4 linked regions of the Saccharomyces cerevisiae S288C genome follow. Changing the gene in region 1 together with any one later gene gives a genetic interaction. Each region holds a gene or a part of one and is shown on either strand. Other genes may lie near its edges.

Evidence for each region.
Region 2: mutations in UPA2 (region 1) and YRO2 together harm fitness more than expected from each alone (negative genetic interaction), as found in Saccharomyces cerevisiae (one large-scale study listed by BioGRID).
Region 3: mutations in UPA2 (region 1) and IDP1 together harm fitness more than expected from each alone (negative genetic interaction), as found in Saccharomyces cerevisiae (one large-scale study listed by BioGRID).
Region 4: mutations in UPA2 (region 1) and REB1 together harm fitness more than expected from each alone (negative genetic interaction), as found in Saccharomyces cerevisiae (one large-scale study listed by BioGRID).

The regions. Positions count from the first base shown.
Region 1 is NC_001145.3:895,216-898,562, forward strand, and holds UPA2 (putative methyltransferase), read right to left. Parts: upstream 1,455-3,347; coding exon 501-1,454; downstream 1-500. Other genes in the region: NIP1 (translation initiation factor eIF3 core subunit c), read right to left, coding at 1-211; PP1-complex regulatory subunit GLC8, read right to left, coding at 1,699-2,388; Elongator subunit ELP6, read left to right, coding at 3,190-3,347.
Region 2 is NC_001134.8:340,631-346,555, reverse strand, and holds YRO2 (Yro2p), read right to left. Parts: upstream 3,456-5,925; coding exon 2,421-3,455; downstream 1-2,420. Other genes in the region: U4/U6-U5 snRNP complex subunit PRP6, read left to right, coding at 1-1,954; YBR053C (regucalcin), read left to right, coding at 5,805-5,925.
Region 3 is NC_001136.10:332,906-339,494, reverse strand, and holds IDP1 (isocitrate dehydrogenase (NADP(+)) IDP1), read right to left. Parts: upstream 4,661-6,589; coding exon 3,374-4,660; downstream 1-3,373. Other genes in the region: SYO1 (Syo1p), read left to right, coding at 1-1,223; E2 SUMO-conjugating protein UBC9, read right to left, coding at 1,425-1,860, 1,971-2,008; PEX19 (Pex19p), read left to right, coding at 2,218-3,246; COX9 (cytochrome c oxidase subunit VIIa), read left to right, coding at 5,099-5,278; CBS1 (Cbs1p), read left to right, coding at 5,685-6,374; BDF2 (Bdf2p), read right to left, coding at 6,555-6,589. UniProt on the Saccharomyces cerevisiae protein: Mitochondrial IDP1 may regulate flux through the tricarboxylic acid cycle and respiration. Its probably critical function is the production of NADPH.
Region 4 is NC_001134.8:332,453-340,011, forward strand, and holds REB1 (DNA-binding protein REB1), read right to left. Parts: upstream 4,367-7,559; coding exon 1,934-4,366; downstream 1-1,933. Other genes in the region: 40S ribosomal protein uS17 RPS11B, read left to right, coding at 379-423, 935-1,360; protein phosphatase regulator REG2, read right to left, coding at 4,731-5,747; RFS1 (flavodoxin-like fold family protein), read right to left, coding at 6,268-6,900; YBR053C (regucalcin), read right to left, coding at 7,223-7,559. UniProt on the Saccharomyces cerevisiae protein: DNA-binding protein that recognizes sites within both the enhancer and the promoter of rRNA transcription, as well as upstream of many genes transcribed by RNA polymerase II. It is essential for cell growth. May stimulate or inhibit transcription.

The sequences.
Region 1 (3,347 bases):
CATAAGGCTTTGCATCAGAATCATCAGAGTCTACATCAGCTTCACTTTCACTTTCACTTTCATTGAAAAAGGAGTCGTCAGATTCTTGGTCCAATTCAGACTCAGAGGAGGAAGAGCTTAACAAATCTTCTTCAGACGAAGATAAAAGATCTTCTTCGGATGAAGAACTGGCTACATCGTATTCGTAATTAGACGAAAAGAAACGGGACATTTTCGTAGATCTCGGGCTTGGCAGGCTATTGTGTGAAGATTGCAAATATGTGCCTTGTTCTCCTTTTTTTCCTTCTATGCTACTCTACTAACAAGTGCAACTGCGAACCTGTAGCTAATTTTTCATTCCTTTCAAAGCTCTTTTTCTCATTGAAAAATTTTTCAACGGCGAAAAAAATGCGAAAAAAAAAGCTTGGTCGTTTCCAACGAGTAGAGGAAAGTGACAGTAATAATAATGATTGCGTCTCTAATATATACGTACTTATCCATTGCATGAAGGTAATTTGGGATTAAAATACAGTTGAAAGAGTTGTCAGTGTCATGGGGATTGCATCTGCAACGTCCGAATTGGATACGGGGCATGGTAGCTGAGCATCAAAGAACTCTTGAGGACCTTGACAATCTACGAATTGATCTTGATCCAGTTTGAATGCTCGAGCAAGAGTGTCCCACGTTGAGAATACCAATAAGATGTGGGGATTAGTTTCGGCGGTAGGCAGTGATGATAACTCGGGAATAGAGGTGTCTCTCGTGGTTAAGGGAACATATACTGATTGTGTATAACCCTCTTTTAAAGGCCCCTTCATAAACAAGTCTGTGAACGATGACGCTATACGAGTATAGTAGCCATACTGCGAGTCCAATCCGGTGAAATCACCGTAAGCTTCCTGAGGAGATACAATTTTCCTCGTTATTGTGTCGATGGTGACCCTTGCGTTTATCGGCACCAGCTGACTTTGTAGAGCCAGTGCTTTGCTTTTCCCTATATTAATATATTTGGTTTGCTTGAATACCTTACCAATCTTTTTGCGAGCCAAGGTGGGTTTCTGCATCTTGATAGTGAGGCCTTCTCTGTACCGACCGTGATCTTGCTTTTGGTACCTGGTGAAAGGAAGTGTGGATAATCTTGGTAATTTTGAAGCGGCGGTCAAATAAGGTCTGAATTTTTCGTTGAAGACAGTATTGCGAAGATATGGAGGCGTGACGAAGTATTGTAAAAGTGCCAGTATTAATTTAGCAGTGGAGATTTTTTTTTTGGTGGCATCGACCTGGGAATTGTCCTCAAGAATGACAACCTCAGAAACATTAAACAGCGATGCAAACTTGGCCACTTGGTACACCTTATGCGTGATTTGAGAGAGGTTGCGACAGTCCGATACCAATGTCGTGGGGATACAGAGTGAATAATGTCTGGTTTGTGATAGAGGTTTCTCAACCTTTTTGAACTTCCTCGTGCTGCTCATCAAACTAAGTGATACACAGCTTTGTGGTCAGTAGTATATATTCCTGGGACCGGTAGTAGTTGTGAAACAGAGTACTCTCACTTGCCGATCACAGCTCATCGATGGGAAATTTTTCATGTATAAAATAAAGCTTGTTAAAAAATCAGTTCGTTTCGCGTGATAACAAACAGTGCATATTTATGTACCAAGAATCCAAAAAATAAGATATATTTAGTATAGGTAAACGTTATGGAGGTGTCATGTTTCATGGTTCTTTTGTCGTACTATCATCTTCGTCTTCGTCTTCGTCCTTTAGCGCTTCACGGGACTTTTTGTTGAAAATTGCCCTTACGTCGTAATGCTTCTTTCTCATTTCTTCAAATTTCTTATGTCTAGCCTCCGGTGAGTCTTCATCATTCTCGTCGTTGGTCTCAAAATCCGGTTGTTTGTTCTCTTTGATTTCAAATTCCGGTTCGCCCAGGGACAAATCGTCGATGTCATCGTTTGCCACCTGGCATGGTTTTTTATCACTATTATCCTCATCTTCATCATCATCTACTCTGTAGTATTCCCCGTGAGGGTCCACAGCACCTTGGTAGGGGGTCTTGGGCTCGTCTATGTGAATATCTTGGAACTGCTTTTTTGTTATTTCATTTTCTGCTAAATTTCTTTGGTTCCATTGAACTCGCTCTTCTGGTGTCATCTTGGCCAACATGTCTTGCTCATGTTTCAGTGACAGTGTGTCCTTTGGAAGGAAGGTACTCGATGTTCCAATTATCTCCCCCTCCTCTTTTGTATTATCTAGTCCCGGTATATTCCTTTTATGTGATGTCAATTTGGCATTTTTCTGCGTATTTTCGTAAACTTGTCTTCTAAACTCTTCAAGCGTTTCTGGATCCTGTTGCGCCAGCTGCTCCGGCGATAAGGCTAGCGGGTTTTTAAGTATACCTCCCATTATTCTGCTGATGTGCGTTCTTGATGATACGAACTCGTTGTACTGATGAAGCTCTTGGACTTTAAGTTGTAGTGGTGTTCTCAAATTATCCTTTCGGTGGAAGTCATTTCTCCCTAAAAAAGCGTGAGGGCAAAACTTGAAACCGGGTAAGAATATGCGATAGTACCGTTTTGCCTCTAAAGACAGTGCTTCAGAGAAATATTAGCAAGGTGTCGAATCAAGTTATACTAGATAGGAGGATTTCATAATGAATAATGCTTTAAAATGGTTCTCACCTTTATTTTATCATTTTCTTCTTTTCTTCTGCTATTGATTTGGTAGTGTTCGGGTTAATTCATTTTTTTGTTCAATAACAAGAACCAAACATAAAAAAAAATACTTTAAGAATAAACAAGACTGATGAAGCATAGATCATATTATTAGAGCGCGTAAGGTATGTAGAGCACAGATTGGTCCTTCGAGTGTGATTATATAATTTTATATACGCTCCTTAATTTAAAAGCGGCTTAGATAGATTTTTTATACTTTGCTGTTGGAAAATTCCTGCTGAAGCAAAAGAATTTGCAATTCGTTCTTAGCCTTTAACCCCAATTTTAAGGCTGAAGCCGTGGCTTATATCATGGGCTTTGTTTATCCAACTTTTCACATCTATAGTACGCTATCTTTGCATCTCTTAGGCATGAATTGATAGGCGATGAGCAGAATGAAAAATGAAAAAAAAATAAAAGTACTAAATTGAGGCTAGTAGAAGTTAGGCAAAAACCGTCCAGAACCTCCACAAAAATAACTAAATACACATTTATGGGTAGTGTTCAACGACAAGATTTGGTCCTATTCAGCGACCAATCAGTGCTTCCTGCCCACTTTTTCCAAGACAGCAACTCTCATAACTTATTCTTCATCACCCATCAATCCTGTACTCAACCACTATGGATGATAAACGCACTAGTAGAAACGCA
Region 2 (5,925 bases), on another chromosome or scaffold:
ATTAGAAGAAAAGGCAAGAAAATTTTCAGTAGCAAAAAAAATAATAGAAAATGGTTGCCAAGAGTGCCCTCGAAGCTCCGATATTTGGCTAGAAAACATTAGACTACACGAATCTGATGTTCACTACTGTAAAACATTAGTGGCAACGGCAATAAATTTTAATCCAACGTCTCCGCTTCTTTGGTTCAAAGCTATTGATTTGGAAAGCACAACGGTTAACAAATATAGAGTAGTGAGAAAAGCACTGCAAGAGATTCCTCGAGATGAGGGCCTATGGAAGCTAGCTGTCAGTTTTGAAGCTGACAAAGCGCAAGTTATAAAAATGTTAGAGAAAGCCACACAATTTATTCCACAAAGTATGGATCTCTTGACTGCATATACTAATTTGCAAAGCTATCATAATGCTAAAATGACTTTGAATTCCTTCAGAAAAATCCTTCCGCAAGAACCGGAAATTTGGATTATCTCTACACTCTTGGAAGAACGAAATAACCCAGATATACCTGTAGATAAACTAGTTAGTTTGCTCAAGGAGGGTTTATTGGAACTCTCTAAAAATGGGTACAAAGCGACCTTGTCAGCATGGTTGAAACGTGCAGAGGCTCTAAATGATGCGCCCAATTCAAATTTAACCTGTCAAGCCATCGTTTACGCTATATTAGAATGGTTAAGAGAAAGTGGCGAGTATGAGTCTGAGTTGAATAATGTTGATCAGATATTAGAAAAAATGCCACACTCAAAGGTACAAATTGCTGTCTTAAAAAAGCTTATTCAGTGGGATCCTTGTGATACAGTTCTTTGGTCTAGACTGAAAATGGCCACTGAAAGCTACCATAAAATTGAAGAGTTATTAGCATTTTTCCAGGAGCTGCTATTTCAGACCAAGAATAGTGATGATATACGAGCAAATATGAGGGAGAAAAGCCCTGGCTTGTTAATGATGTATGTAAGCGAATATTGGAAGGCCCAAAAAGGGGATACTAGGCAAACACTAGTTTTGATTGACCAGATTATAGATTTCGCCCCGCATAATTTGGATTTACGCTTTTTCAAGATAAAGTTATTAGGTCGTTCACTACAACTTGATGAATTACGAGATTTTTTTCAGCAAACTTTCTCCTCTTTAGAGGATTTTAAGATCAGTGGCACGGAAAGATTATATTATAAATACGTAAACTTTCTGCGGTACCAAGATCTGAATGAAGAGGCTATAAAATTCTTGAATGAGAGATGTTTGAAATCATTTCCCATCTGCCACAAATTTTTTTTACAGCTGGGTCAAATTTATCATTCCATGGGCAATATTGAAATGAGTAGAGAAACCTATTTGTCTGGTACAAGGTTAGTGCCCAATTGCCCTTTATTATGGGTTTCCCTATCAAAGATTGACGAGATTGATCTAAAAAATCCAGTAAGGGCAAGATCAATTTTAGATAGAGGATTGTTAAAAAATCCTGACGATGTATTATTTTACATTGCTAAAATCCAAATGGAAATAAGACTTGGTAACTTAGATCAGGCGGAGTTACTCGTCACACAGGCATTGCAAAAGTTTCCAAGCAATGCTTTACTTTGGGTGGAGCAAATCAAGCTGTTTAAGCATGGAAACAAAAGTTCGTTAAAAAAAACAATTTTTCAAGATGCTTTAAGAAGGACACAAAACGATCATCGCGTTCTTTTGGAGATTGGAGTATCCTTTTATGCAGAAGCGCAATATGAAACATCATTAAAATGGTTAGAAAGAGCTCTGAAAAAGTGCTCGCGTTACGGAGATACATGGGTTTGGCTATTTAGGACATATGCAAGGTTAGGCAAGGATACTGTTGATCTCTACAATATGTTCGATCAATGTGAGCCTACTTACGGACCCGAATGGATAGCCGCCTCCAAGAACGTAAAAATGCAATACTGCACACCTAGAGAGATTTTATTGCGCTTGATGAATGACAAATAAAGTAATTCTATCTTGCGTTGTTTTCTACTTAGCCTGCGCGTATATTTATATGTATGTATGTATGTATACACATAATTGATAGAAGCGATGCTCAAAAAAAAAGTTAAAGAAAAGAATTAGATTTAATTAAGATTATAAGTAGTGCTTCATAGGTATTAAGACAACAAATGGTCTTTCTTACAAACGTAAAAATTTGAAGCAAAATGATGTATGTGTTTAAGGAATTTATTCGTATTTTTTTAATGAAAAAAAAATTTAAAAACAGTGCATATTTATTTGTGGCCTTTGGTCGCTACAATCCAATCCCATCTTCTTTCATGTATTAACACTTCATCGTTGCGCGTTATAATGCAGAAGATAAAAAAAGGATCGAAGTGTTTCTTTTCCAGCGAAGTTTCGGTCTCAAATAATAATACGTCAGGAAAAAGAAGGAAAAAAACATTGCTACATCAGCAGATCAAAGCATTTACTCAGAGTCGGTGGCTACATCCTCCTCCTCTTCTTGGGCTTTCTTGGCCTTCTTGGCCTTCTTAGCCTTCTTAGCCTTCTTCTTGTCCTTCTTGTGCTTCTTCTTTAGCTTTAACTTCTCCTTGATACTAGAGTCAGAATCAGATGACTTGAAAGAAGCTGGAGATGGCATCTTCTTTTCAGCAACTGGACCAACATGTTCAGCGGGTTCTTCGTCGAAGATTAAACCTAATCTTTCAATCCCCAAATAGTTAGCCAATGGCATGAAAAGAACTGGCAAGATAGATAGGATCAACAAATCAATAATACCATAGAAAATGGTAGCAGAATCTGGTTGCAAAACGTTACCACCATCTGTGATACCAAAACAGGTTGGGTAAGCAATCAGCCACAAAAACATGATGACACTCATGAAAGTAATGAAAACGTTAGAGACATCCTTACCTCTGGCCTTGACCAGGTTGAATGTAGTTGTCATCAAACTAATACAAACAACAATGGCAGCACCAATACCAATGGTGTAGTAACCCCATTTGTAAGTAGAGTGGACACAGGCAGCAATCAACCAGCAGACAGTAAATATTTCAGTCATACCAACATTGAAAGCAATTTGCCATAATGGAGTACCACCAAGTAGAGACATTTGAATAATTGGCCATGGGAAAGCCAAAAACCAGCCAACGTATCTAGCGTAAAAAATTTGTCTGTAACCTGGGTGCTCCTTTTGGGTAGAAGTTTGTACATGGTTGTACTTTGCTCTGACTGGGATCCAACCCAAGTTAGAAGCCATGGTGAAATAAGCAATTGACATGAACAAATTTGGAGCAATGGCCGTATAATATACGAATCTGTCCTTAACTGGTTTTCTAAACATTAGTGGGACTAAAATCACACCGAATAGTAGGTTAACACAAAAAACGGTGAAAAGCCAGTCTGAACCACGAGATGTAATGTGGAAATCAGCACCGGTTGGTGGATTAATTTTGATGGCTTCGTTACCACCTCTTTTCAATAGTTCAACATAATCAGACATTTTGATGCTTTTTTTAAAAAATAGTGTCACTTTAAGTTATCAGGAAAATTAGAAGATTTTTAAAATTAAATATTAATAATTAAAGAATTAGTGGTTAAACGTTATTAGATTGTTTGGAATTAAAAGAAAAAAATTCTAGATTGATTAAAAATAACCAGAATAAGCTATTAGTTTTGAGTAAAAAAGGGTTTTTAGAAAAAAAATTATGGTAAGTTCTTAGGACTTCTTGTCTATGTTAAAGTATCCAAAGATAAATAGATAGTTTTTTTCGGGTTGGAATATTACTGTTATTTGCTGACACAATCTTGACACTTGATTATATAATCGTAAATGAGAAAAGGTTAATAACAAATATCGAAGAAAACAAGAGAAGAAAAGGGCGGAAAACCATAACTAACACACTGTCTTACATGTAAACCGAATAAGTTCGGTTCTTTATATATCTTTTCGGTAAGCTTCCAGTAATTGAAAGGATCATGAATAAGCAACAACCCGATGAGGAATCATCCCGATCTAACATTGAAATTTTCTAGGGGTTTTACTAACTAATCTGATTGGAAAGCACAATTATCCAGTGAACTACTAAGATGACGAAATTATTCGTTTACACAGAAATAGTGAAAGGCATTTTTGCTTTTACAAGAGGCTATTTTTTTTTTTCTTCATGCTTCTTAAAGGGATTCATGCATTGGACCGGAGAAAAGTCCGCAGAACGACCACTCGAGGGTAAGAAAAAAACAGCTCAGATTTCCTATTTGAGGCAAATTATGCGGAAATTGAAGAATCGAAAATCACGGAAGTGGTACCAAAATCGGTAGGTTGTTTTCAATTTACCCTTTTTTTCCATTCCCTCATTTAGAACCCATAGCGAGGTCGAAATATCCCTTAGCCATTGGTGTGATGTCTATAGTTATTTCCCTCAGTCAACCCAAAGCAAGATTTACATTGTGTTAACGTATGCCGTGATATGAACAAACACACCGGCCTACATAGCTAAGTTAATCAAAGAAGGTGTAGATAAACTAGGTTACATAACTGCCTATTGGCAAGCTTTCTTGCTATCTTAACAGCAAAGCTCTTAAGTCGTGATCTTCTCTTCTGATTCTCTTCCGATGGCATATAGATTTGAAGACGACAAGGAAAGCTAAGCAACTTCCTAGTTTTCGTCTAAAAAAACCGAAGGTTTTTCCGGTGATTTTCGGAAACATGCAGAAGAGTCCTTAGAAATCTTAGGTAAATTCACTCGGCATGTCTGCTAAAGATCGGTCTAGGCCATGCGCGTAAAACGGGAAAGGGTTCGCTCAATGGCAGATGCTGCCATACGAGGACACAACCAAGATGAGGCCTCCCAAAGCGGTACTCGCGTTAAGAAAGAAGGGCTTTGGAGGCAACCGGGTAGGGTGTCTTCTTTGTAAAGTTTGTCTAATGTTGGAGAATGGTTGCCACCCGGGGAAGAAAACTGCTCAGGGCGGATAACAGGAAAATAACATGTTGCGTGCACTTGTTTCCGTTGAAGGGAGATGGAAAGACTACTTAAAACAAAGTAAAGAAAAACATCTCAAAAATATTGAGAGAAAATGTGGTCCAGGAACCAAAGATGGTATACTATTTTGCTTTAGTTTATTTTTGCCTTCTTGTTTAATTATTACTCAATTGGTATATGTAATTGAGTAAATATACAAATTGTAGCTTGTGTTTTTGTTTTTCACAAATGACATCGGTATGTATTTTTCAACATATCTTCGCCATTTCTGTGAGCTATTCCGAACACCGCTTGAAACGATTTGTATTTTGCACAATCGTCATCGAAGTTCAAAAGTCAATTGCTTTTCCTAATAGAGTTAAAAGTCGGTCTACGAAAGTAAAATGTATACTCAGTAAGAGCGGTCTTTGTCTACAGTTCTCCAAAGTGGTAGTTATATCGGGAATGGGTAAATGCATTACACAACAACAAGGAGTTCTAAAAGAGTAACTGTGAACGCCAAAGGAAAAGATATAAAAAAAGTATGTCCCTTTTTAATACCTTTTTCGTTAAGCCGCTACAGCTACCTCTTGACTAACTGAGAAGCTGAATGGATAAGGAACAAAATCGTACGTAAATTTTCTCATCCATTTTACTTGGTCAACAGATTCTATAATTGTAAAGCTGTAGCTTGCACTTGATTTTGTTCCTAGAAATGCATTCAAAATTATTTAATGGTCGCCAAGAACAGCTAGGTGAAAGTTTACCCGGTCGGGCTTTAAGGGGAAGCCAATGCTTATTCAAAGCATATGGACATATATGAAGATGTCCTGTAAGATTCTTAGATTAAGTTTATATGCATTGAGCAACTAGACACTTTTCGTAAAATGAGTAGTGTTGGCGATTTTGAAGAAATTATTTTGCATGATTTAAAACCTTATTATCACGTTCCCGGTGCCATACATAGTGAAGGAATAACCTTCGTTAAGGAAACCGGTACACTGTTGT
Region 3 (6,589 bases), on another chromosome or scaffold:
ATCTGTTCAATACCACTCTTGATCTCATTTATGATTTGAGTTCCGAATCATTTGAATTTATTGATCATGTTTCCAACAATGAACTTCTATCACAGTTCTTAAATGGGCTATCTCCGGCTTTACATCCACAAGCTAATGAATTAACAAAAGTTCTAATTGAAGGTATCCATTGCCAATTCCTTGACATGAAAATAACTTATGATCAATGTAACAAAATGATCCACTCTGTATGTCATTCCATTAATAACATTGATCCAGTACAGTTAGTTAATGACATTAATAACCCTGTAGAAATTGGACCTGCTACTAGTAAAGATGAAAGCAGTAAGGTTATAACTAAGATCAAGGATTACAATGCGAAACGTAACGAATCCATGATAAAATTGCAAAGCATTGAAATAGCAATTGATCTTATCACCGCAATCATTGAGATAGTTGCATCCAAATATGAATCACCAGAATCACAGGAAGTAGCAATTCCAGAGGAGCTAATCAATACCTTAACAAATTTCTTACCTCACGTTTTCATGATTTTGAAAGATACCTTCACCTCGCGAATATTGATCGGATGGAACAATCTGATCTGGCTCTTTGTGTCTCTATCTCTAACAGAGCTCTCTGGAGAGTTGTTAACCACCTTATGGAGTTATGTTACACAGTTGGACAGCCAAGATGATTTGAGTATTAAAATAGGAAGAATGGGCTGTATTTGGGCGCTTCTGAAACTCATCTTTCCTGATGGAGCGTTTGAAAGTGAGAATCGAGCATTGATCAATGTCCAAATGCTGAACAATTCAGGATTCGCTAGGGGAATTATTGAAGAGTTCCAAAATAATAATGACCTTGAGTTACAACAAAAATGTATTAATGTACTAAGCACATATGCTATGATTCAGGGACAAATTGATGCAAATAAGGAGATTGGGCAGTTCTTCATACAAACTTTAACACAGTTGAATGTTCGCCCTGAAATTTTGATAGAAATGACAAATTCGCTTTTCCAAATTTACGGGGATGCCTCTTACGACTATAATGAACCAATATTTGTAAGGGGTGGATTTTTATCTATTCTAAAAGACCAAGTTGTACCAAATTTGAGGCAGCAATTCAAAATGGTTGATAAAAACAAAAATCCCGAACTAAAAGAAAGATGCCATGATTGCTTTACTACGTTGGATAGTTTCATTCACTACAAAATGAATGAAAATTCTACTAACCAATAGATTTATTAAAGTGTATATAGTTGCCATACTTATAGAAAATGGTACAAAAAATATCTTTCTATTTACTTAGCATAAGAAACAAAGAGCAAAAAATTATTTTTGAGAATTTGTAAATAATGTTATTTTGCTCTATTTTTGTTACACAACGACATTAGTTAAATAAAGTACAAAAGGAGGAAGAATGGGAAAGATGGATTCCCTCTATTTAGAGTACTGTTTAGCTTGAAGCAAAACTTTCTTGTCATATTCCGCCTTATTTCTTGAAAATGATCTCCATGCAGGCTCTTGAGCAGGGGAATTTGGATTTGGAGAGTCTAAAAGATCCTGAACCCCAAGAACAATTTGTTTTAACGTGATGGCGGGTCTCCAATCTTGATCTTCATTTAAAATACTTAAACATATTGTGCCACTTGGATACACGTTTGGATGATAAAATCCGGCTGGAAATTTAACCTTTGGAGGTTTTGAAGGATATTCATTTGGATATTCGACTGTAATTGGGTACACACCACCCGCCCAGTTTGTACCTTCTTTGCCTGGGATACCAGCTTCCCATTTCTGTAAATCCATGGACCCATCAGCTTTCTTAACTGGTTTGGCATAAAATCCAAATGGATGATCCTTTCTCCATTTTTTTCTGTTATTCAAGTAAAACAAGTTAAGTTCATCGATTTGTTAGTATACCGCTGGATGAAATTGTGTATGCCTACAGAATGTAAGCATAAAAGGAGGAAAACTACTACTTACCTTTCTTCCTGAAGACGCTGTAGACACAAACTACTCATATTGCTTCCAAAAAATGGTGCCAGTGTGTGCTTATCCTATGCTAAATTTCTCTTCTTTTTTTAAATGTTTGTTATGGAGACAGGAATAATTTTTAATTTCCAGATGTTAAACGCGGTTTCTGAGAGATATAAAGTGAAGAAAGAATTACAAATTGTGGGAACCGAAGTATTGACGGAAAGAAGAAATGCCAAACATACAACACGAAGTAATGAATGAAAACGAGTACGATAATTTTGATGATTTGGATGACCTTTTAGATGAAGATCCCACTAAACTGGATGAAGCAGAGCCCGATGATGTGCAAGCGAAGGGTTCTGTGTACAACGATAGTGAAAACAAAGAGAAGAATGCCGAAAGTAAGGACAGTGATGGCGTACAGGTAGCTAATGAATCTGAAGAGGACCCAGAATTGAAAGAAATGATGGTAGATTTGCAAAATGAGTTCGCAAATTTGATGAAAAATAACGGTAACGAGAATAATGTGAAGACAGAAGATTTTAATAAACTGATTAGTGCTCTAGAAGAGGCAGCTAAAGTACCTCATCAACAGATGGAGCAAGGATGTAGTAGTTTGAAAAGTAACAGCACTGATAAAGGGACCGTGAATGGTAGCAATCCGGGATTTAAAAACATTGTTTCCAATACGCTAGACAGGTTAAAGGAAAATGGTAATAAAGTTGATACATCCCTAGCCGAAGAAACCAAGGAATCTCAACGCAGTGGCCAAAATAATAATATTGATGATATATTGTCACAATTATTAGATCAAATGGTAGCATCTGGTGGAAAAGAAAGTGCAGAAAATCAATTTGATCTAAAAGATGGGGAGATGGACGACGCAATAACAAAAATACTTGATCAAATGACGTCAAAAGAAGTATTATATGAGCCTATGAAAGAAATGCGTAGTGAGTTCGGTGTTTGGTTTCAAGAAAACGGTGAAAATGAAGAGCATAAGGAAAAGATAGGCACCTACAAGAGGCAATTTAATATCGTAGACGAAATTGTAAATATTTATGAATTGAAAGATTATGACGAGCTAAAGCATAAAGATCGTGTTACTGAACTTTTGGACGAATTAGAACAGCTTGGTGATAGCCCTATTAGAAGTGCGAACAGCCCCCTAAAACACGGTAATGAAGAAGAAGAACTCATGAAAATGTTGGAAATTGATGGTAATGATCCGAACTTGGGGAACCTTGATAAGGAATTAACCGACGGTTGCAAACAACAATAAGGTATATATATTTATGATAACAGTAAAAAAAAAAAAAAAAAAGTAGTTCATTATCCTAGAGCATAACTAAGTATAACACTTTAAAAAATGAAAAAAAAAAGTGGTAGATTGGGCTACGTAAATTCGATTACTCGATCGACTTGATTTCTTTTTGTAGTCTTTTTTCAACGGCATCCAAAAATTCTTCTGTGGTAACATAAGCAGATCTTTCGTTGTTACCGCAAGCCAAAGCCAAGTCCTTCGTCATGATACCGTCTTGCTGAACTGTGTTCAAAGTGGCGGATTCCAAAATATTGGCAAATTTACACAAAGCAGGAGTATTGTCCAATTCACCTCTCTTCAATAGACCTCTCGACCACGCGAAAATGGATGCAATGGAGTTTGTAGAAGTTTCTTCACCCTTTTGGTACTTTCTATAATGTCTTGTCACGGTACCATGAGCAGCTTCACTTTCGAAAGTTTTACCGTCTGGTGTAACTAAGATAGAAGTCATCAAACCTAAGGAGCCAAATCCTTGAGCGACGATGTCAGATTGGACATCACCGTCATAGTTCTTTAGCGCCATGATAAAGCCACCTTTAGATTTTATCATTTGAGCGACCATATCATCAATTAAACGGTGTTCATAGTGGATCCCTAGTTGTTCGAATTTGGATTTATATTGAGCTTCATAAACTTCTTGGAAAATGTCTTTGAACCGACCGTCATATTTCTTCAAAATAGTGTTCTTGGTTGACAAGAAAAGATTTAGCTTTTTGTCAATGGCCAGCTTGAAAGACGAATGAGCAAACCCTTCGATGGATTCGTCAGTATTGTACATGGCCATGGCCACACCACTGCCCTTGTAGTCATACACTTTCAAAGTTTGTGGTTGAGCAGTCGTAGGGTCGGATGGCTTGTAGACCAGTTCCAAAGATCCTGGGCCTGGGATCAGTGTGTCCGTAGCTTTATATTGATCACCGTGGGCGTGTCTTCCAATAATGATTGGTTTTTCCCAACGTGGGACCAGTCTAGGAATTCTAGGAATCACAATGGGCTCTCTGAACACTGTACCGCCGAGAATGTTTCTGATGGTACCATTAGGAGATTTCCACATCTTGTGCAGGTTGAATTCCTTCACACGAGCTTCATCAGGAGTGATGGTGGCACATTTGATACCAACACCATACTTCTTGATCGCCTCAGCAGCATCCTGAGTAATCTTGTCGGAGGTGGCGTCACGAGATTCGACAGATAAGTCGTAGTACTTCAAATCTACGTCCAAGTAGGGTAGAATCAATTTCTTCTTGATCTTATCCCAAATGATACGGGTCATTTCATCACCGTCCAACTCGACAACGGGTTGTTTGACCTTAATCTTACTGAAAGCAGCAAGGCGAGAGGTGGAAAATAATCTTCTAGATAACATACTCATGCTGGGCGATCTTCCTTGTGCGTCTGTTGTCTCACAATTGCTTGAAGGAAGATTTCATAAGATCATATGAGTCCCTCTTTATATGGGCAAGTGGAATTATGTGAGTCAAAATCCGCGCGTGACCCGTAAAGCGTTATCAGAAGGTGCAAACGGTGCTATTTAGCTCATAAAAGGAATGATTCAAGCTCTTTTGGATTGTAAGACACCTTTATTTAGTCCAAGATCATTGCAGACCCTTGTTATGGTCTTTAGCAGAGTCCTCCTCTATATCTCTTCATTTACTGCAACCTGATTGGCCCGCTACCACGATGCCCGCTTTGTTCCTGTGGTATTAAAAGAATCGATGAAAGAGACTCTTATCTTCAGGGAAAATTAGGACCGAGAATTAGAGCAAGCAAGATATTTGCAAACTACTAACTACAAGCGACTTACACAGACATGACTATTGCTCCAATTACTGGTACGATCAAGAGAAGAGTCATCATGGACATCGTCCTCGGGTTCTCCCTCGGGGGTGTCATGGCCTCTTACTGGTGGTGGGGATTCCACATGGATAAGATTAACAAGAGAGAGAAGTTCTACGCAGAGCTAGCTGAGAGGAAAAAGCAAGAGAACTGACCGAACCTGACCACTATTGTTTTTCGCATTATATTCTTATTCCTATTTATTTATCTTTTATTTTTTTTCTGTGCTGGCCTCGATTGATTACTTTTGCAAGAGTTTGTAGGGAAGGAAAACAGACAAGTCATTCTTTTCTTTCTTTTTGACCTTTATCATAATTTTCTATTTGTATAATTTGAAAAAATAGTTTTACATATTTATGTAGTGTCAAACTAAAATAAAAACAAACTTAAAAAAAGAGTTATAGAAAATGTATGTGGAGAATAAGACAGGCAGACCTTGAGTGAACTAGGAATAGTACAATATTACCTTTAGGAGGTGCCACGTACTACCCCTTTGCTTCTATTCTTCTATGGTTTCTTTATAGCAGGATAAAAGAATAAATCAGATAATGAATCTCGACATGTTGAGGACAAAAGTGTTTGCAACTACTGTTGCTCGAATATCTGGGATTCGCAGGTATATTCCCATCAGAACTATAAACACGGTGACGAAAAAGAATATTAGTAAGATAGAAAAACTGTGTGAAGTCCTTGAAGTTAATCCTGACGGATATAAAGGAAAGGAACGCATACCGACTAAAGAACTAACTAAACTGCTATATACCACAAGCAGGAATATGTTGGTACGAGTACCAATGACTGGAGACTTGAGCACAGGAAATACATTTGAAACAAGAAACGAAACTTTACAAAAATTGGGTGAACAGCTCATTCACTTGGAAATTAATAAGATGCTTACAATAACATTTACGAATTTCAATCAGTTTAATATAATGAACAAAAACTTCAATTACATTCATAACTTAGATCGAGCTCGAGTAGTGAACATGGACTCGATAAGCTGGCTTATCAAGAATTCGTTGAAAATTAACCAATTAGCTCATTTGCGAATACCTGCCAATTTGCCGAAGGAAATGGGATTAACTTCCAGCTCTAATGATTTTCAGAACTTGAACGATTGGAAAGTGATCTTATCCTTTATTGGTTACCTGAAATTACTCGAAATTAAAAACGATAACAAAAAATTCATTGAATCAATTATAAAAACTATATGCATACCTCTAATTAATTACCATTTGCGTAAATCATAGTACAAAAGAAACGATGCCTTTTTGTCCGTTATCCCTTTGTTTTATTTACAATAAGTACGTAAAAACAATTATTTCTTATTTTTGTTTATAATGTTACAAATCTTTTTTATCCCCATTCTTCCCAATTTTTTTTTTCTTTTCTTTTTTTCCTTAATTAGGGCATGAAGCCCATTTCGATTGTTAATCACTGTCACTGTCGCTACTATCACTACTGT
Region 4 (7,559 bases), on another chromosome or scaffold:
GTTTCTCTCAGTATCTGGGAATGCCTTATTATCGATATACACAAGAATTTCTGGAAGAAATATTTCCTTGCTGCACCCATACAATTCTAAACCCAAACATGTTTCCCGCTTTGTTTTTATTCCACACTCGGCATATTGCGTCTATGAAAAAGATGCGAAGTGTCTTTGTGAAATGAGGAAGTGTTCTCGCTAGAGTCCGCCTGGTTCCACGCCAACCTTTCAGCGGGCAAGTCCAATAGCTTTACGTTTCCCTTCTCTGCTGCGTCTGTTGAAAATCTATAATCAATAGGTAAAATAGTGATAATAACATAGCTAGTACAATTTACATAGTAGCATTTGCTGAAGACTTAGAGGAAACGTATCAAGCCAGGGAAAAAGATGTCCACTGAATTAACTGTTCAATCTGAAAGAGCTTTCCAAAAGGTATGAAAGAATTATAACCTGAATGAGGTAATCAATGAAATATTCAGTACGGAAAGGAAAATTGCTCGAGGTAATATTATAATTTTAATGGGAATTTCCAGATTTATCAACATAAACGTTAGCAAGCGCAGTACCATCAAGTAAAAGTTTACTGGTGAAAAGCAGGACCTCGAATGATTGAGATTTCGTTACACAGTACGAGTAAAATATAAATTATTTCAAGAAGAAGAGAACTTTTGATCTGAAAATGAAAATGTAACCACGGAGAAATGTTGAGAATACATAAATAACCATGAGGCCAAAACACCTTAATATGAAGTATAACTTTTACTGTGCTCAATGACTATTTCACCCGACTAATGCCAAGTAAGGAGGATCTCCATCATACGGAACAATTTTCCAACCGCCACGACACAGTTAACGATTTCCTTTTCGCCTAAAAATAGTAGGAATGAAGTTCATGATTATATTTTAGATCAACCGGTTTACTAACATGCTATTTTTCATACAGCAACCTCACATCTTCAACAATCCAAAGGTCAAGACTTCCAAGAGAACCAAGAGATGGTATAAGAATGCCGGTTTGGGATTCAAGACCCCAAAGACCGCTATTGAAGGTTCTTACATTGATAAGAAATGTCCATTCACTGGTTTAGTTTCCATCCGTGGTAAGATCTTGACCGGTACCGTCGTCTCCACCAAGATGCACCGTACCATTGTCATCAGAAGAGCTTACTTGCATTACATTCCAAAGTACAACAGATACGAAAAGAGACACAAGAACGTCCCAGTCCACGTCTCCCCAGCTTTCCGTGTCCAAGTTGGTGACATTGTTACCGTTGGTCAATGTAGACCAATCTCCAAGACTGTTAGATTCAACGTCGTCAAGGTCTCTGCTGCTGCCGGTAAGGCCAACAAGCAATTTGCTAAATTTTAAAGAAATAAAATTAACAAGATGATATAATAATAAGTGGAGGATAAAACGTAGGACTTCTGGTGAATTATTTGAACCAAAGTGTCGTATATTAGGCTCTTTTTCTTTTTCTTTTACCAGACTTGGTTTTTTTCTCTCTTTAGTAATTGTTTCTATATATGGCTTATCAATTCTATATATTTTTTAACTTGAATATATGAATGACATCTTTAATAATCACATCTCGGCAAACGACTGATGAGTTCCACCTGCTTATTGTTTATTTCCTTTCGTACACGCCGCGCTTGGCCAGTCCTTCCAAGAATGTAGGCAGAAGAAATCAAACTAACTTGTAAGAGAAAGAATAAAATTCATTATACATATAGGTAAAATAATATAAATACAACGGCTCCATGTGTAAGTTGGAAATAAAAACAGTTGGCGTCAAGGAAGAAAAAGAAAGTCAATATCCGGCAATAAGTGAAGACAAGATTTGCCAAATTGTTACAGGGCTAAAAAAAAGATAAATGATGAAAAATAACGCGTACTATCAAACATTATTGAGTTTTTCGCTTTCACCAATTATATTTTCCGGAATTAATTTTCTGTTTTCATTGAAATATTGGAGCTAAAATAATCAACTAGCTCTTTACTGATTTCATTGATTGATTTTTGCTTATAGCCTTTGACCTTTTTCTTCATTCTTTCATAGCACAATTTCAACTCTAACCCATTTAATTTCATGCCAGGCTTCAAAGCTGCAAGTTCATCCCAATCTACTTGAGAATCTTCTGTTATACCTAAATCTCTTAATTTTTCAAAAATCCATAACATATCATCATCTTTTACAGTCTGAATTTTGGCAATTGCTTCCCTTTTGACCAATTTATTCCATTTATAACGACATTGAATACGTGATCTCGTACCGCCCATACGCTCACTGACAATGGTCCAGTTAATGATGTCTTTGAAATCTAACTTACCGTTACCCATCAAAGATTTCCTCAGTTTATTATTGTGACGTCTGATTGTATTTGACAAACTTTTAGAATGTGTGCTTGTTGCTGATGGAGCAGGTACCATTGAGTTCTGGGAATTATCATCGAGCTGTATACCTAATGAATCGTGGGGTTTGTCTTCGTCTTTGTTGTCTCCCAGGGATGAAGAAGCAGCAGCGGCAGCAGCGGCAATAGCATCGTCATCATCTTGCTGCTTTTGTTGAAGAAGTTGTTGTTGTTCTTGAATAGCAGCAGCAGCAGCTGCTGCTGCAGAAGCTGTATCATCATCGTCTTCATCGTTATTGCGATGATCATTCTGGTCATCTTGCAGTAAATGCTGTTCTTCTTCCAATAAGTTTGGATGCAATTGAGACTGTTGTTGCTGGGCTTCTTCCAACATATCGCTGATAACCTTTTTCAGAAGCTCTTCTTCTTCAACGGACCATCTATTTGATGCTCTATTGGTACCACATTTTACGTAGTTTCTCCAACGATCCCTACAATCTTCTGGCATTCTGCCTAAAGTTTTACCTATTTCTGCCCATTGACCTTCTTTTTCTGCACATAATTTAGCTAGCTCTTGTTCCTCCTCCGCGGTCCATTTACCACGTTGTTCAAAAATGTGATATTTTCTTCTCATGTGTTTGTAGATAGAGGAGCTAGATCTATAGGGTAAGACTTTGTAAATATTATTCCAAAAGTTGTCCTTTGGCCTGTCGGAACTCCATATCCTTTCACAAACTTGTTGTCTAGTCAAACGTTCAATGGCCTCATACTCGTTAATAAATCTTTCTAAAGCGGCGTCTTCGGCTTTATCAAAAGCTTTGCTATTGTTAGACCTTGAAGTCGATGGCGTTGCTGAGGATGAGGATAAAGATACCAAAGATGATGCCTTTGTGGCGGCTGATTGAAGTAGTTGAGATATTTCTGAATTGTCCACGCTGCCAGCTTCATTATCATGAGAGGGAGATTTTTGTTGGTGTGGTTGAGTATCTTGAGAGATAACTTTGGGCAAGACTTCCATATAATTTCTAGATTTGTTGAGGGAACTATCCAGCATAGAGTCTTTCTGCAGTTCAGAGTATTGCTTTGTACTATTTGATAAATCATCTGTATCATCATTGTGATTCTTGTTCTGATGATTCAAACCGTGTGTACGCATCAAATGATCTTTAATATGCTTTAATTTTTCGTTATCGTCAGTATCAGCCGCAGTATTCAAGTATTGCTGGAAATCAGGATGTTGGGTAATCGAATCAGCGTCGATAATGGCCTTATGGACCAGTTGATCACGATCAATCACATCATTATTAGTATCGTTGTCATCTGCATCACCCAAGGTGGTTAATTCCGGATCTACGTTTCCAATTTGTCTGTCATCGTCATCATTATTGTTTTTCCGCTTTTTCTGTGAATTCTCATGATTATTTCCGTTATCATGCTGTCTTTTACGCGAATTGCTATCGTTCGCAATACTGTTATTATTATTGTTATTTTTCGATAGAGTGTAAGCAGCAGCGACGGCGGCCATCGCCATAGATTGATGATCATCGTCCACACCAACACCCGCATCTTTCTTATTCTTGTCGTCGTCGTCATCCACGACTATGTCAGATTGAGAAAAGTGATTATTACTGTCATTGCCGTTGTCAGTGTTATTATTGTTTTCGTCATCTTCGTCGTCTTGTTGATTATGCGCTGTTTGCCTTAAATACCAATCCATAACTGCGTTATGTTGTTCATTGGAGTTGGCATGATCCACATTCGAAGATGATTCGTTCGCATTCAATGCGCTAATATTTTCAGAATCATCATTATTATCCTCGTTTCTATTACTGTCATCATTGTTATTAACATCAACATCACTACTACTTTCCACAATATTCTGCTTTTTCGAGTGTTTGTTTTCCAGATCCTTCGTATGCAATTGAGGGTCATGGTTCTGGTGATCTAGACCTACACCGACATATTTCAAAACAGCCTCTTCCACAGACTCTTGATTTGCGTTTTTATCGTTATGACCTGAAGGCATATTGATTGAGCTATAAATATTCTAATTCAGCAGCAACACGTGAGTTCAAACTAATAACGATAGTGTGTAGATAACCTTGCTTGTGATGATGTTTATTTATTTACTTTAGGTTGGGTCCACAGCAGGGTAATAACAGCCTGAGTTTTGTTGTTTTATCTTGTGTGGTCAAGAAAGCTGCCATTTGTTTGTCGTTGTCCTTTGTGAGGGTAGGTCCCTTGGCCGCCTTTGGTTTGCCACCCGGCATGGGCCCAATTTGAAAGACGGGTAACAAAGTTGTTGCTATATATCACGTGATCAATTTTTCCGAGGAGCTTCTAGAAGAAAATGAGACACAATTTCAATGTATTGAAAGTTTACGTAAAATTTATAGGAGCAGGTTGGGTATACTGGTGTCTATGTAAGCGTCAATGTCATTTTCTGTTTCAGCGTCAGTATCAGTATCAGTGTCAGTTTCCGACTCGAAAATGAAGGTCGAATGACTTGAAGTTGACGAAGGTTTTACGGGGGAATGATGACTTATGTTGGATAACTTGAGATCGGAGTCAACCCGAAGCACACTACTGAAATCTGTTTCTCCTGCCTGTAACAAAACATTTCTTGGAACATCGCGAACATCGTGCCCACGCTGATAGTCTCCACTATTACTACTGATAATGGCAGTGGCAGCGGCAGTCGTAATAATTGCGTCACTCGCGACGTAAACGCTGTTATAATCATAGAAACTTCGCTTACTTGCTGCGTTGCCAATACAGGGATCTAGTTCAGACTTTGAACAAGGGCGCTGTTCATCAGTCGAATTCAACCGTGTAGAAGGAAGCCTTTGTATGAAATGCTCATCAGTTATAATACACTGTTCAACGTTATCGTTAAATTTGATATGCCTCTCTCGTGGCTTGCCCATTATATCTCTCCTTTTGCGTGCCTTAAACCAGCTTCTCCAAAAAAGGTTCTCCAATCTTTGATCATTGTCCACTTTCTTGTGTTTTTGTAACGGTAAAACATTTTCATTTTTTACAGTGTTGTTCGAGCTTCTCACATGCTTATTATTTTTATTGTAATTGTTTTTACTACTACAATTGATAAACTTGATGAATTTCCATAAATTTAAATTCAAGATTAAACTTCTTTGCTCGTGAAAGTCGAAATTTTTCTTCTTTACTGCTGGCAACATGCACATTCTTTTCTTGTTTATTTTCCACTGTTTGGCATTCAAAGACTTGATTTTTTTTAAGCAATACGTACCATTTGCAGCGGCGGGAGGATATCCCATATCGTTTCTATTCATCAAAGTTCTGACCGCCTCAACGAATTTACTACTTTCTTCTTCCTCTGGAGGGTCCTGGAATAAGTTATCCAAAGAGTCGCAATTACTCAAAGTCATTCTCACACACTTTCTTGTTCCTATTTTTTTTTTCTTATTCCAATATATTATTTTATCAGAAGACAGACAGCAAGAACGACAGCCTAAGTTTCGAGACAACGCTAAATTTGACGGACATGCGAAGACATGCCATATATAACAGTACGTCCAGGAAGAAGCTGCAACTCAAGAAGCAATAACTATTTTATGCATTATTAGTTAATTAAAGGGGGTATGGTGTGGCTAAAAACGAGTAAAAAAGCAGCTTGTTGCGATGTTAGTAATGATAACTATAAGGTTTCCGTGTTGACACAATAAGCGTATAAATTTAATCACTCCCCCCACGTTTTTTTATCCAGTGCTGCCCCGCCACATGCAATCGGGCCGTCGGAAAAGCAAGAGAAGGACAAACTATCGGGCAAATGGCCTGGAAGGGACCTTCCCCATTGGCCCTTGACTATAGTCCTTCAGTCCTTCAGTCCTTCAGTCCTTCAATGTTACAGTTATACCATATCGTACTTATGTAAAGATATATACGGTTTTACAAATCTTTGATACGGTCGTAAAAGGCCTTCCCTTGAAGTTGGTGAACTCTTAGCTCGGATAAACTGGGAGGTCTGCCACCGTCGATTCCAGAAACACATCCTGCGCCCCAGGCGCAAGACCCGTTCACATCTTCAACGTCGGTCAATTCCTTGTATGCGTTCTTATACCCCAATGGGACATAAATGACACCATGATGGACCAGAGTACTCATTGCGTTCATGATACACATTTCTGTATCACCCTTGCCGCTTATTGCGCCTGAAACAAACAAACCGGCAATTTTGCCATGGAGAGAACCCTTTGCCCAAAGCCCACCAGTATTCGAGTCCCAAAAGCTTTTCCACTCCGCGGGGAAGTTTCCAAACTTAGTAGGTATTCCGAATAAGTAGTAATCGTACTCAACCAACGTTTCTCTTGTTAGGATTTTATAGGAAAAATCTGCATTAGTTTTGGCGACTTTGGCTGCCTCTTTTCCCTCTTCTGTCGCATATTCAGTTTTATAGCTGACGTCTGGCACTTGGAAAATCTCAGCCTCACCACCAGCTATCTCTATACCTTTTTTTTCATTTTCTGCTAATGTGGCAATTATATCGTCCACTGAATAAATCAAAATAGCGACTTTCGGCATTATCTATGTGGCGTAGTATGTGCTTATAATAGTGAGTAGTATGCTGGAGGTCTTGATGTTCGATGTTTCTCGAGAAAAGTGTGATATAAAATGTGGTTTCTTTTTATTTCTTTTCTTTTCCGCTCTTTTATGTATTTTTGATTGTCCGCCCCTTAGGTGTTCCCTCCTTATAACTAGGCAACCAAAATGGAACGGCTATTATTCGATGTATAAGGACAAGTTTGGGAGCTTCGCTTCAATTTGCCCATAAGCGGTGTCATATGACGCTAGTTACATGCGCTGGATACGTATGCTGCATATATATAAACATATGTATATACACCTAGTGGAGAGGTTGTCGCTTTGTAGATTCCAGAGGAACATTTCCGTCTAGCACGTTTGGAATTTTGTAGATGCAGCCACCATTCTTGTCAGTATTGGTTCTTACAGCATCGTTGATTTCTGCATTGGCAGTGGTCACGAAGAGATCTTTACCAACAAAACAACAACATGAAACTCTTGGTGTCTGCTCCGGCAAAATGAACTCCTTCAGCAATTTTCCGTTAGTTAAATCGAACATTTGAACCTTACTGGTGGACCAGACAGTGATAAACAGAAACCCAGAATGTTTTCCGTCTTTGCTAAACCAAATTGCACTTCCATCTGGTTCAGGAGACTCA